Schizosaccharomyces pombe: one gene and its partners. The protein of the gene in region 3 purifies or fractionates together with the protein of the main gene of each other region. This does not show direct contact. Each region holds a gene or a part of one and is shown on either strand. Other genes may lie near its edges.

Region 1 (5,963 bases), 3.6 Mb from region 3:
AGCTATTATTAAATGATACAATAATTATTTAGTTGATCGCTTAAAAATTTTTTAGAAGCAGCCATGATTGTATCTATTTTGTTTGTTTTGTCCATGCATTGTTTGGTCTCCCCCCGAGCAGTTATGTCCCTATTGCGTAGCTAATAAATCCGCTACACCAACCACAATTTTAAGATAACTACAACAGTTTACTTTTCTTTTCTCATTCCCTTTCAAAATTTATGTTTTCATATTATCTTCAGTAATTTGTATTTCCATAGTTTTTGACGATTGAGCTATCAATATGAATTCTCCAATACAACTTCACAAGAAGTTTTCCACTACAGTTTGGCATGTTCTGAGCTGGATTCTTTATGCAGTTGGGGCAGGTCCTACTGCAATTATAAGTATGGGGGTGTATGTTCCTTTAATTGTTATGAAAAATGCCCATGATCATGGTTTTTTAAGAACAGATCACACAATTCCTTGTTCTTTATATCCAGAAGAACCTTGCTCTTTGAATATAGTTGGTCCGCTATGGATTGATGTTAGTTCTATTGTATTCGCTGCATCAGCTATTTCAACTTTTTTACAGATGGCTATGATGGTTAGCTTGGGTGTTATTTGCGATTATGGAAATAACAGAAGATACATCTTGTTTTCATGCGTTATCATAGGTTCTATTAGTGGTATTATACTTTCGTGGAGTCCCTCGAGTTTTCTTTTGGGAAAAATAGTGTTTTTGATTCTGGTCGACTTGAACTTTATTATATCTCAATCCTGCTATGACAGCTTTCTCCCTATTTTTTTGAGATTCTACCCTATCACGAGAGGACCTATAACATTGGAATCCGCTCTTCAGGATGAAACAGATGACCTAGATAGCTACATAACAAATACCACCATTGATTCTAGTGAAGAAGAGCCCTATTTGCTTGAACACAGCCTAATACTTAATGAATCCGCTCCTCCTGCAGATGTGGAAGATGAACACAAGGCTAAAATCGCTGCTCGATTATCAAGCGTTGGCTTCGGTAGCTTCTTCGGCGCTGCTATTCTCTTTCAGATTATTTTTACTCCCATTTTGTACAAAACTAATAACAATCCAATAATCTTGCCAATAACTGTTACAGTGTGTTCATGTTGGTGGCTTATACTTTCAACCCCCCTTTGTACCATTGTTACACTACCTGTGGAAAATCACTCAAGTGATGCTATCCTGACACTACTTTATAATAGTGTGAAAGAGTCGTATCATTCATTCAAGCATGCAATGAGTATTTCTTCGATTAGGCTATTCCTATTTTCACGACTCTTCATTAATTGTGGAATTCAAACTTCTCTTTCTTCTGCCGTTATTTTTGGAAAAGCAAGGTTGAATCTCTCTAACTTTCAGCTGACTTTGCTAGGAATGGGAATATCTTCTTTCGCATTGTTAGGCACCGTAATTATACCCTATCTTACTGAGTATTTTCAACTGAACTCGTTACAAGTAGTAATGATTATTTCCATCCTCTTGCCGATGGCTCCTTTATATGGCCTTTTGGGTTACATTCCTGGATTTGAAAATGCTGGAATACGAACATCAGCTGACGTTTTCCGGGCTACTTTATTCTTTGGCTTTTTCTTAGGAGGTGCGCATAGTTATTGTAGGTCCGTATACGCTCAACTAGTGCCATCTGGAAAAGAAACTAGATTCTTTGCCCTCTACGCTTTGATATCACAAACCGGTGTGTTATTTAGCCATATTTCTTTAACACTTATTTCGAACTACACATCTGATTTACGTGCCGTCTACATTTTTGTAATTGTTGTTATGACTTTACCTTTGTCTTCTTTATGGATAATGTATCAACACAGCAAAACCCCCAACTTGCATAGGTCCTCCTCTTAACTCACCCACTAGCATTTATTTATTGATTTAATTAAACAAGTCTGCGGTTCTTTATTTTTTCGAGACATTAAACTATTGATTAATGTACAGTGAGCGCCAAGCCTAATTATTTTCATGAGTCTTTCCAATTAATAAACGAAATTATCGAGGATTTAATAGTTAATAGATATATATTATTATATGAATTTAATTCTGTCACCCAAGATTCATCAGTAAGCTAATGTTACCTGAGTCTATATTCATCGGCAGACGAAAAGTATCCCTTAGCCAACACCCATTTCGCCACAAGTCGATTAATATCATATATAACGGCTTAGTGAGGCCATACATAAATTTTGAAATATATTATGTCTTTTGATGGTCTTATAGTTGAAAATGAAAATACGAAATCTGGATACAATGATGGAAATGTAGGTATTTTGAAATCTATAATCTTAAACTAACGAATGTAGGACCTGACAGATTTATTTAAGCAAAATGGTACAGACATGTCTGTAATAAATTCTCTTTTAGGAGATACAAACAATCCAGGGATGAATGAGTCCCCAAAAATTTTAGATTCTAGTTTTGAAAATTCCAACCCTCAGGATGGACCAAATTATGAAGATTTTGACTTTATGGGTTCAATTCATAAGGAATTTGGTAATAACATAAATGAAATGGATGATATGGAAGATGTAAGTGATGATAATCTACCAGAGGAAGAACAAGCTGTAAATTACACCGGGGATAAGGATGATGAAGATTTTGGAAAGCTTTTAGCTAAAGAAATGGGTGAAGAGGCTGCTGGTCAGGTCCTCAGCGGAGTAGGCTTTTCAATTCCATCGGGATTAGTTCCACCTTCCGAACCTTCGAAAACTGTTTCTTCTACTACAGAAGAATTACAAAACGAAGCTCAAATTAGGGAGAGCATTGTCAAAACTTTTTTTCCGACCTTTGAACGTGGTGTTTTGTTGAACTTTTCAGAACTTTTTAAGCCGAAACCTGTTAAGCTTGCTCCTCCAAAGAAAAAGACCCCAAAAGGTATGAATTGATTATTGTTGTATTTTTTTACTGATCTGACATGTTAAGTTTGCGTACCTGGTCGTTTAACGTTAGAAGTCGATACAGATTACGCAATAATATTCAATAGCAAGAAGTCTTTACCATTAAAGCGAAATGTTGTGTCTCCAATATCTACGCATACAAAAAAGCGAAGAAGAACAGCTAATACATCACAGGTATGGTTTGATTTAGAATAGCTTTCACTAACCGAAAGAGGAATGACGGCTTGGATCTCAACACCGTTTTTACTACTAATGATTGGGAAAAAAATATTATTTACGATGAGAGTGATGTTAACAAAACTAATCAATCATCATTTTTTATTGACAAATCACTAGTTGATATTGATTTTGCATTTGATGAAAACATTTTTGACGGAGACACTGGTACCTCGAAAGTAGTATTAAATTTAAATGACCCCAAACTTTTGTTACAACCTCAATTGCCGAAGAAAGAGGATTCCCAAAGATCTTTTGCAGACACCCATCAAAGGAATTCCCTGGCTTGGAAGTTTAATATATCCAACGATCCTGCCTATGAGATGTTAAAACAAAATCATCAGTCAAAAGTTCGTAATACCTTGTCCCAGTTAGCAATTGAGCATGCTGCCTTTGCCGAAAAGCTCACATTTCCTTACTATAAAACAAGACTTAGTAAGCGTGCTGTTCGAAGTTACCATCGACCAACCATGTCGTTCAAACCTAATGCAGCTATTGTCTTTTCACCTTTAATAGTAAGGAAAAGAAGTAAAGATAAACATAAGTCTGAACGAGAATTAATTCCTACTACTAAGGAGATAACAATGGGTGATACCACACATGCAATACTCGTTGAGTTCTCAGAAGAACATCCTGCAGTGCTGTCCAATGCAGGTATGGCCAGCAGGATCGTTAATTATTATCGAAAGAAAAATGAACAGGATGAATCACGTCCCAAGCTCGAAGTTGGTGAAAGCCACGTTTTAGATGTTCAGGATCGGAGCCCTTTTTGGAATTTTGGATCTGTTGAACCTGGAGAAATTACTCCCACTTTGTATAATAAAATGATTAGAGCTCCGTTATTTAAGCATGAGGTACCACCTACTGACTTCATTCTAATACGGAATTCTAGTAGCTATGGCTCAAAATATTACTTAAAAAACATTAATCATATGTTCGTGAGTGGTCAAACTTTTCCTGTTACTGACGTGCCTGGGCCCCATTCCCGTAAAGTGACCACAGCAAGTAAAAATCGATTAAAAATGCTTGTTTTCCGGCTTATTAGGCGTTCACCAAATGGAGGATTGTTCATTCGACAATTATCAAAGCACTTCTCCGATCAGAATGAGATGCAAATTAGACAGCGTCTTAAAGAATTTATGGAATACAAAAAGAAAGGTGATGGTCCAGGTTACTGGAAATTAAAATCGAATGAAGTTGTCCCCGATGAAGCAGGTACACGGTCAATGGTTTCACCTGAAACAGTGTGCTTACTAGAGAGTATGCAAGTGGGTGTGCGGCAGCTTGAAGATGCTGGGTATGGGAAAACAATGGATGAGATCAATGATGATGAAGATGAAGAACAACCAGCAGAGCAACTGTTAGCGCCTTGGATTACTACGAGAAACTTTATAAATGCTACCCAAGGGAAGGCCATGCTTACACTGTTTGGTGAGGGTGACCCTACAGGAATTGGCGAAGGTTATAGTTTTATTCGTACGAGCATGAAGGGTGGTTTCAAACCCGCTGGCGAAACCGCCGACGATAAGCCAGAACCGCAAACTAAGAATGCTCACGCCTATAATGTTGCAAAGCAACAAAGGGCTTATGAAGAAGAAATAAATAGGATTTGGAATGCTCAGAAAAGAGGTTTAAGTATAAATAATCTGGAAGAATTGGCTAAAAAATATGGCATCAATTCTATACATGATGATTACGTTGAATCTAATGAGGAGACTACGAGAGAAGAAACTCCATCTTCTGATAAAGTTTTACGAATTGTTCGACTTTATCGTGACAAAAATGGAAATTTGGAACGTAAACAGGAAACCATTCATGACCCGATAGTCATCCATGCCTATCTGAAGAAGAGGCGTGAGATTGACGAACAATCAACTGCTCTTGATGCCGTCGTACCAACTGGAGACGAAGCAATTGATAGACGCAACCGAAGGCGTCTTGAACAAGAACTTGCCAAGAGTCAGAAGAATTGGGAGCGACGAAGAGCTCGACATGCTGCCAAAGAAGGAATCAACTTGAACGGAGAAGGACGAAAACCCACTACTCGCAAATGTAGTAACTGTGGTCAAGTGGGCCACATGAAGACCAACAAAATATGTCCCTTATTTGGTAGACCTGAAGGAGGTTTGGCTACTATGCTCGACAAAAACTAAAATAATACTGAGTGTTATAAAGAATATTTGACATCTCATGATGGGCGTCGATCGCTCCTTTTTTGTTTATTGGTGATGAATCTAATTATAACGATATTCATTGTAGAAAATGTTAATAATCAATTTATGTTTATGAAATCAAATATATAGTTGACGAACTTCACGTGAAAATGAGTTGAAACTTTCAAATTTTTCGCGCAATAGCACCCTTCATATTAAAATAGCAGCAAATTGCCTTGGCATATCCTTCAAATAAAAAATTGGTAATATAAGGCTTGTTATGAATACTCCCATATGCTGCAAGTTCCTTTACATCAGTGTTTCTTGGCAAAAATGCAGCAACATAAGGGGATATCCTAGTTGCTTCTTTAAATAGAACATCAAAAGCATATGGGTTTAGGTCATTTAATGAATATACTGTTTTTCCTGAGTAACTAGGTCCACCCCAAGGAGGACTCATAAAAACAAGAGACTAGAAAATATTGTTAAACACAGAATTAATATATAAGATTATCTATACCCTGTAATCTTTAGCAAACTGCAAAGATTTAAAAGTGTCAAGAACGTCTCCTTGAATGAAAGTGACTCGAGATGAAGGAATGCCATAAATTTCCAAATTATGCTTTGCCATAGCGATTTTGATAGGATCGATCTCAATTGAGATTACTGAAACAA
Region 2 (3,928 bases), 2.2 Mb from region 3:
AGGAGGTAGAGTTACTTTTTCCTTCGGTCTAATAAAATCTAACGGAGGTCCTAACGCGCCTTGTAAAATTGGCTTTTGGCCGACTTTGGGGGATTTACTAGAATTTCGAATTTGAGTAAACGGTACCCAGGTTTTAGTGAAAGAAGATTTACTTCTTAATGAAAAAATATACCTCCATGTCGGCATAATTTTCAGGTTACCGAATGGAAGGGTTTTTTTGTAGAGTTAGCAAAAGTTTATGTTACTATAAGCGACAATGAATGCATCATTGTCAAGTTGAAGAAATAGTAATCTTCAAGTATATAAATTTATTTATGAGCATATAAATGTATATTAATAAATATATGTATACGTTTAAATAGAATTGCTTATGCAGAAAAATGATTGTTGTAATAAAGTTCGGTACACTTCATTAACAAAACTAATTCTGGCTATCAGTGTCTAAAATACTTAATATGCAATTTACAATCTACTATATAAAATATAAATATATGTATATATATCCAAACCATAACCGATGTTCATTATTATTGTAGCTGATATGCAAAAGGTAAAACGTATAGAAATAAATGCTTTTTTCTTTAAAAAAAAATGTAAAAAGATGTAACTACGCAACACATTTATTCAGGGTTATCGACAAGTTGAGTACGTTTTAACTCTAACTCGGTCACCATACGATTAACGTCTGCAAGGAAACGATTTCGTAGAATGGGATTAGTTGCTTCATCGGCATCCTTTCTACGTTTTTGAATAGAAGACTCCAACTCTGAAATAAACTCACGAACAAGTCTATTTTGTCGTTTATTTTCGCGAGTCTCATCGTCAGCTTCATTTTCCTCTTCTTCTTCTTCTTCCTCCTCTTCTTCTTCTTCACTAGCAGATTCTTCACCTGCGGCACGAGGTTCTGCTGTTGACTCCCGAGTATCTTGACTAAGCTCAAGCATACCCTGTTCAATCTGTCCAGCCAAATCGTCCTCATCCATACCATCAAACATATCAGTTTGCACGCTTTGGTCGTCCCGATCGATGCTGGTACCACGAAGTCCTGCCATTCCATCAAACGATGTATCCTCTGAAAGAGCGATGCTTGAGTCACGAGCCAATTGTGCTTGATCAATCAACTCATTCGATGTACTTTCAGCGCGTTCATCCATTGCAAGCAATCGGTCAACCTCATTTTCAACTGCTTCGATTGTTCTGTTCGAAACACGTTTTCGAAATCGCTTCTGCCGCACCCAATGCATTGGCGTCGTCAATCCATGTGGATAAATGTAATCAGCTTGCTTTAACTGAGTATTGAGAACAGAATTTTCGTGCTCGATTCTTTCTGTAGCTATCAACATTTGACAGATGTCAGCAGCCTTGAAGATAACTTTTTTGTCGAATGATTTATTAGATTCTATGATGCATGGCAAATCAACTAACTTCGCAGCGTACAAATGACCATTAACATGAACAACCGCTCTTCTTTGATCTAACTCTGTTAATAATAATATAGTGTAACCAAGTCATTACCTTTGAACTTCACCCATATGTCTGCACCTCGTCCCACTTCCCTATTTTCAATTGCTTTTCGAACATACTCACAATCTTCACCAGGAGGAAGACGTAATATAATTTGTTCTTCAATATAAGTGTCTTCTTCTCTGTCAGAAGCTTCTGAATCATATCCTAAGCCAGGTTCGCGAACTCTTTTTAACCGAATTTTTGTCAATCGAGGGCCTTTAGGTTCACGTGTCTTGATCTTAATTTTAGGAATTGGGGGAGGAGGACCAGTGGCTGGAGTGCTAGATCGTGAATCATTTGGAGGAGGCTGAACAGCACGAATTTTTAGCTTAACCATTTTCGAAAACCGCCTTTTGAGTAATTGTCGTTGGCAAACGCTCGATTAGCAAGTCGCTAAACCTTCAAGTGAGTCTCGTTATCTACTACTAACGAGCCATAGTGATTTACAACATTTTTTTAATACAATCGTTATCTGCAAACACCTGTCAGCTACGCAGTTTGGTATCTATTTAACGATTCATAGAACTGCGGTGAGTTTCTCTTGCGACCTACAGTATAGCGGTATGTGGTATGTTTAACTAACAATGTATATTTGTTACTATAAGAAGTCCATTAGTATCGATCACCGACATAGCTAAACTACTGAACTGAGGAACAAGGTTCGGCAGTAGCCCTATTTATAGTATTCAGATAATAAAAATATTAATAGATTATTATTAAGGTCAATCTCAATACTGTTTCATACAACGATGAATGATTAGGACATGTGTCATATAGTGATACTCAACGTAGTGTATCCTTGAGTAATGTATTGTTGACAACACTACTTATTTATCCCACAGTAAACAATGTAAATAAAGCGCGAAATTGTTGATCGATGCAAAGGTTAAGGTAAAAAGGGTTTTCAATGTAGCTAGGAATCCGGGATTTACTCACTTATTATACCATTTGTAGCATACTAATCATATTGAGTTAGCATATAATATAATAACAACGAATGTTTGACAAGGCCACTAGCGACAATTGTATAATACGTGAAAACAAATCACTTTAGTTATTTAAAGTTTTCTAACATAGGAACATTATTAATTGTAATTACATTTAAAACTTTTGAAATCTATCACAATAAAAAGCGATTGCAAAAAAAAAAAAAAAAAAAGGAAGCAACACAGATGATGTGCATTGTAACAAATAGATCAATTACGGTGAACAACTTTAATACAATACAACTAACAACGATAAAACATTCATTTGAAAAGGGGAACAATTTTTTTCATTCGTAACAAAAATAAAGCAAATTATTCATGAAGTTATAAGGGGCGTAAAAAACTTTGGAGTAGGCCGAAAAGGTTGATCATTAAATCACTAGATTAACGGGAAAAGCTTACAACTTTTTTAAAAAAATAAAAAAAAGGAAGAAAGAAAAAAGGTAAAAAAAGTTCCAAGAGGAAAGGAAGCACACGAAATAAAAGACTACTATAGAAAAAAAAACACTCAGGACATTAATGATCAATGAAGAAAACCCGCTTAAAAATTTCTTTTCTTCTTTTGGATTTACTAGGGAAAATTGAAGCTGGGGATAAAAATAATGCCTATGGATGAATGTCGGTCAAGTGAGGACTATGACGAGAAGGGGGTAATCTAAAACGCTCGGTCCATCCAGTTTGTTCTTGCCATTTTTGTGAATAGGAGTCAACGGCTTTAATAGCGTCAGCAATTTGAGATGGATTGAACTTCTTTGACATGTTGTGAATACTCTCATCAGGTCGCAAAGTAGCTCTACCTACCATCAATAACTCTTCATCGGTTACGTTGGGAATACCAAGTTCCTCAAGGGTAATGGGAAGATGACATTTTGCCATAAAAGAAGCAAGATTATTGAAGTCTTCCAACGGCCAATCCTCCAAAACAACTTGAACTAAGGTACCGTAAGCAACCTTTTCACCATGCATTAAACGATGAACGGGACCGTGGATGGCGGTCATACCGTTATGGATGGCATGAGCAGCAGCAAGACCACCGTTTTCAAAGCCTAGACCAGACATCAATGTGTTGGCCTCGACCACGTTCTCAAATGCCTCGGTACAAACACCGCGAGTGTTGGAAAGAATAGCGCTCAGGGCATACTTTTCAAGAGTGTCTTTGCAAGCACGGGCAATGTAACGGCCAGCAATGGAGGCCACACCTCCGGCAAAGGAAGTGGAATTTGAGCGAATAACGGATTCAGTTTCCACCCAGGTGGACAAAGCATCACCAATGCCACTAATAAGGAAGCGGACGGGAGCGCGAACAATCACATCGGTATCGATGAAAATGAGGTTGGGATTAAGGGGGTAAAAGCTGTATTTTTGGAATTGACCGTCAGGAGTGTAAATGACGGAAAGAGAGGAAGTAGCGGCATCAGAGGAGGCAGTAGTAGGAC
Region 3 (5,061 bases):
CGATTTCCTTTATTCCAGGGCTCCAATTTAGCATAAAAATGACCACCTTTTTCGAAAGCCTCTGTGTCGAAGTAAACGCTACCGTCTGTAACTGGATAAGCATAACCGCGATCGATAATGCGCTGAACAAAATCTACGATTTCAGGAACATATTCCGAAACTCGCGTAACAGCAGTAGGTGGCAAGACATTCAGATTAGCCATGTCCTTGTTGAAGTCATCTTCCCAATAAGCTGCAAGTTTACGAAAGATTGCAGGATCAGTCACGGTGCTACCCAATTCTGCATCAAGCAATGGGACCAAAACATCTTGTACCTTGGGCCAAAACCCATCCAAAGAAATGATTTCAGAAGCTTCACTCACCTGAAGAGCGTCCAAAGCAGACTTTAAAGCATCCACATGCATGGGTAACTTGGGATTGTTGATAGCTAAAGTGGGAATATCATGGGATGCGAGCCATTGAGGCCATTCACTCATCGAGGAGGGAGGTTCAGGAAGATTTTTCTTGGCATATGCAAACCAAGCCTCAGTAACCTTTTCACGAGCTTCTGAATGGGATTTGTTAGTACCTTGCTGCTTTTTATATTCTTCAAATAAATATTGTTGACGAGCTCTAAGGATAATTTTGTCATCTATATCAGTAACGTTTTGTACAAATGTAATGTTATATCCAAAATAAGATTGTAAGATTCTTCGAAGGATATCAGTTGTCACATAATTACGAGCATGCCCCATATGACTAGCATCATATACCGTAGGTCCACAGCAGTACCATGTTAAGTTGGAACCATTTGAAACAAAAGGCACCTTGCTATGAGTTAAGGTGTTGTATACATAGAGCTCCGTTCTTTGTCCTTTAGGAACACCCCAATGCGATTGAGCGGGATTTCTAGTCGACATTAGATTTTTATTAAAAAAGCGACTAGAACTATTGAAACAACGAGCCACGAGTTTAAAAATCGTGATTTTGATTATTTTGTCGTTGAGTTGGGTAAAAATTTGGCAGGATAACCTGAATTAAGATAACGGAGTATTTGATGCGCAATTTTACAGGTTATTGTTAGTACTTGAACTAAGCAAGCAAAAACATTTTGCAAACAAAAAATAAAAACAAAATTTCAATACCTAATTATATTTTTCCTCATATTAAACTAGTAAAGTAGCCAATAGATTTATTTCATCTTTTTTTTTTTTTTTTTTTGACGATATTATTGCAAATAAGTTGTTGGTTTCCATCTCAGCATACCAATTGATATGCTTTGAAAATGTCTTATCCGTATTAATCTTAGTTTTGTTGAATCGAAAATATTTAAACAACTCTGGTGTCCTCATATGTTTCTGCCTTCATTACAGATCTTCTATAGTTTTTGCATTAAAGCCATTTAATTGAATGACATTGTCAAGTTATTGATATTAGATAAAAATTTGAATTTTACATTTCAAAAAGTAAATATCATGTTATCTTATTTCTTTCTGTAAAGGATACTTTAAATTACTAACAAAGAAACTTTGAAATCATATTTTAGAACAATTTATTAATATGCATCAGGAGGTTATTATAACAAAGAATGACATTTATCTCAAAAGACTAACAATGGTTTATCGTCTCTTGGATACCGTTTAAAACAAATACTTCTTTTATAGTTTAAGAAAACCCTTATAAAGACTTGAGGGATTAATGATTTGTTTTTGTTTTCTTTAATTAAAAAAAAAAAAAAAAAAAAAAAAAAAAACTCAGATCGATTTATATTTTCTTTCTGCAATTTCACATTTTATTAATTGAATGATAAAATAACAAGTAGCGATGGAATACTATATTCGTGAAACGCTAATTACAGATTTTCAGGATGTTAAGACTTTAAAAAATAAAAGAAAATGCTTCAGTTTCTTTTTTGAACTTAGATTATTTTCCCCTCAATGTTTGTTTATAGTATATTTTTTTTATTTACTACACGTGAGAATAAACACCTCTCCTTTGTTTATAAAAACTACGACACGACCAACAGCGTTAATCCATATAACAAAATACAGTGAAGCGTTAGCGTCGAGACTGCTGAAAGGGCATATGACGCAGCTCTCACTCCGTACCATCCTTCCACCTGCGCACACAAAAAATTTACATCGCCAGCAACCAACTACTTGGTTAGATAGCTAGTGCCTTTGTTCAAATTTTATACCAAAGCTTGATTCAGCTTTTCTAGACTAAATGCGGTACTTTATTTTGCACTTCCTATACTCATTTTCGTCTATATCTCGTTCGTATTGCGTTTGAAGGACTTTTTTTTGTAAACGAGAAATTTATACATAGAAGCTAATAAGAAAGTTGTAAAAACGTATTTTATAAATAAAAAATCGCGCATTTCTTTACTATTCAGCCATCGCCGCGGTTTCACAACACTCAGAAACCCTAACCCTGAAAGATCGGGTATATATAAATAAGTGCAGCAGCCGTCACCTGCAGGCTTTCCATTAGGGGTGGGATAACGCAATTCTACGAGTAGCGTAAAATAATAATTGATTTACTGCAATGGATTTCGCTTTACCCACCACGGCCTCGCAAGCGAGTGCCTTTATGAATAACTCTTCTTTAACGTTCCCTGTTCTCCCCAATGCCAATAACGAGGCTACAAATGAGACGGCAGATTCCGGGGATGCAGAAGTTTCAAAAAATGAAGGTGTATCTGGCATTGTTCCAACCCTTCAAAATATTGTTGCTACTGTAAACTTAGAGTAAGTCGTGCCTCTTTGGATAGGGAACAAGGCGTATTGCCGTCGCGGTGAGTTCATCGGAAATCTTTTGTATAGACATGGCGTTTGGGTAAGAGCGATTGTTAATGGTTATTTGATTTTTGTTTTGTTTATATTTAACTACCATGTCACGAGATTTCCGAAGGCAATGACCGCAGGGGATGATACGTCTCGTTAACAAAATTTTCCATTGAGTTAGCAAATTAGACCTTATTACTAATAATCCTCTTAAAATAGCTGTCGTCTTGATCTCAAAACTATTGCGCTACATGCACGTAATGCAGAATACAACCCAAAAGTACGTTAAACCCTTTTAATTTTGTTTGAGGTCTGTTATTGACCAAACATAGCGTTTTGCCGCTGTTATTATGCGTATCCGTGAACCCAAGTCTACTGCATTGATTTTCGCGTCTGGTAAAATGGTTGTTTTGGGTGGCAAATCCGAGGATGACTCCAAGCTCGCGTCTAGAAAGTATGCGCGTATCATCCAAAAACTCGGTTTTAATGCCAAGTTCACGGATTTTAAGATTCAGAACATTGTAGGAAGTTGCGATGTTAAATTTCCAATTCGTTTGGAAGGTTTGGCTTACTCCCACGGTACTTTCTCATCTGTAAGTTCATCATCTTTAAAGATGTTGTTGCTGTTAAAAGACGAATAAGTATCTAACTGTTCTTTTTTAGTATGAGCCTGAGTTGTTTCCCGGTTTGATTTATCGCATGGTAAAACCAAAAGTTGTTCTATTGATTTTTGTTTCTGGTAAAATTGTTTTAACTGGTGCGAAAGTCCGTGAGGAAATTTACCAAGCTTTTGAAGCCATTTATCCAGTATTGTCTGAATTTCGAAAACATTAAGGCATGTCAACAGTTATCACACAGTTTTGTGTCAATGTTCATGGGTATTGTTGGGTAAAAGACCTTAGTCGGGGTCAGGTTATTTTTTGATCTTTAACATTAAACCCTTAAAAAGCTTTCCGGAGAATCCCCTTCACTGTAAGTCATCATTTATGAGTATTTTTATATGATGCAGATGATAGAGACATCCTTTGAAAAGTTTTTTCTTCAAAATCAGAAACTGATCTGTGAGTTTCTTCTTTTACGGCGCAACACAGCTTTATTCAAGAAAACTATAGAGGCTGAAATTGCGTATCTTATTTGAAAACCTGCAGTTGATGAATGTGTGCTCTTAAAAGTGCGTGCAAGTGTCTTCGCGATACTACTTGTTTTCCTCTGTGTTTATCATTAAACATTAGTTGAGCATTGCTTCATTAAATCTTCTAGCTTCAGGACTGGTGGCCAAATCGGTACAATGTTCTGTATAGCTTTGTATAATTCATTTTTTCATGATCGTGTAATAATAATAATAATCTTTTAAAAATTGAAATAATTTGGTTTTAGTCTGAAGAGCGTATATCGACAGTTCTTAAAAAGTATTGATTCCATTCGAAAATTAGACGATTATGATACTATGGAGTTTAAAGGAACTGAGTATCTGCTGTTCCTGTAAAATACTTTAAGTTCTTAATAGCGCTAATAGAAGGAAATGCGTAAACATGAACACTAATACGGTAATCGAATAACGACGAGCCTGTGGCACCTAAAAAAAGAGTAATAAAATGAGTTTGTATAGCAAGCAGAAGCAGCCAACATCTAACTAAGTCGCGATTTGCAATATAATCGCTTTTTACATATAAAAAAAAACCAAATGTTGTCTGAACTTCCTGAAGTGATATTTAAAGGGACTGAGTTTGAAGAGCAATTGTCGAATTTAACATCGGACAGCCAGGCGAATAAAAGAGTTTATGAAGATTATGATTTTAAGGATGAAACATCAGCAAAACCAATTCCCACAGAAAAAAAATTAAAAGTATTTAAAAAGGATGATAATGTGGAGACATTACTATCTGCTTTAGAAATTCAAAATGAGAAATCGAAGCAACAAGTCGAGTATTCCTTTATCCCACTGAAGCAGGACGATGGTGATATCTTAACATCACCTGGAGATTTCGAAAATGCATCAACATCCCCGGTTTCAGATGTCACTTATGTAAACACTAAATTAGTAGATTTTATATCTTCTGTCCTTCTAGAGGAGAATCAGGGTCTTGCTTTGCATCAGTTAACGCTAAAGTTGATAAATATTGGCGAATCTTTTCACTCACTTCTTCCAATTAATCTACCTTATGAACCTTACGTTATTGCTAATTATGTGGAGCGCCAATTAAGGAGTTATATATCTGATACTTCCTCGAGCAAGCAAAGTTTATTATCTTTAAAAAATTCTTCGAATGGTACCGTTTATGTTTCTACAACTTTA

The links. The genes of interacting proteins can lie anywhere in the genome.
Region 1: the proteins of tbp1 (region 3) and taf1 purify together in Schizosaccharomyces pombe (affinity purification with western blotting, with the first as the bait; one study listed by BioGRID). This does not show direct contact.
Region 2: the proteins of tbp1 (region 3) and taf7 purify together in Schizosaccharomyces pombe (affinity purification with western blotting, with the first as the bait; one study listed by BioGRID). This does not show direct contact.

Annotation. Positions count from the first base shown.
Region 1 is NC_003424.3:836,100-842,062, forward strand, and holds taf1 (transcription factor TFIID complex, histone acetyltransferase subunit Taf111), read left to right. Parts: upstream 1-2,138; 5' UTR 2,139-2,220; coding exon 2,221-2,283; exon of another isoform or gene 2,284-2,325; coding exon 2,326-2,896; exon of another isoform or gene 2,897-2,911; intron 2,912-2,944; coding exon 2,945-3,093; intron 3,094-3,131; coding exon 3,132-5,288; 3' UTR 5,289-5,463; downstream 5,464-5,963. Other genes in the region: vacuolar amino acid transmembrane transporter Atg22, read left to right, coding at 284-1,873; RNA methyltransferase Tgs1, read right to left, coding at 5,473-5,760, 5,809-5,954.
Region 2 is NC_003424.3:2,171,910-2,175,837, forward strand, and holds taf7 (transcription factor TFIID complex subunit Taf7), read right to left. Parts: upstream 1,879-3,928; 5' UTR 1,844-1,878; coding exon 1,516-1,843; exon of another isoform or gene 1,475-1,515; coding exon 621-1,474; 3' UTR 501-620; downstream 1-500. Other genes in the region: mismatch repair ATPase msh1, read right to left, coding at 1-186; glycerol dehydrogenase Gld1, read right to left, coding at 3,099-3,928. UniProt on the Schizosaccharomyces pombe protein: TAFs are components of the transcription factor IID (TFIID) complex that are essential for mediating regulation of RNA polymerase transcription. Also involved in the transport of mRNA from the nucleus to the cytoplasm.
Region 3 is NC_003424.3:4,413,021-4,418,081, forward strand, and holds tbp1 (TATA-binding protein (TBP)), read left to right. Parts: upstream 1-2,458; 5' UTR 2,459-2,526; coding exon 2,527-2,729; exon of another isoform or gene 2,730-2,984; coding exon 2,985-3,045; exon of another isoform or gene 3,046-3,097; coding exon 3,098-3,358; exon of another isoform or gene 3,359-3,428; coding exon 3,429-3,599; 3' UTR 3,600-4,131; downstream 4,132-5,061. Other genes in the region: SPOM_SPAC29E6.06C (cysteine--tRNA(Cys) ligase Crs1), read right to left, coding at 1-899; SPOM_SPAC29E6.07 (uncharacterized protein), read left to right, coding at 1,804-2,154; SPOM_SPAC29E6.09 (uncharacterized protein), read left to right, coding at 4,450-5,061. UniProt on the Schizosaccharomyces pombe protein: General transcription factor that functions at the core of the DNA-binding multiprotein factor TFIID.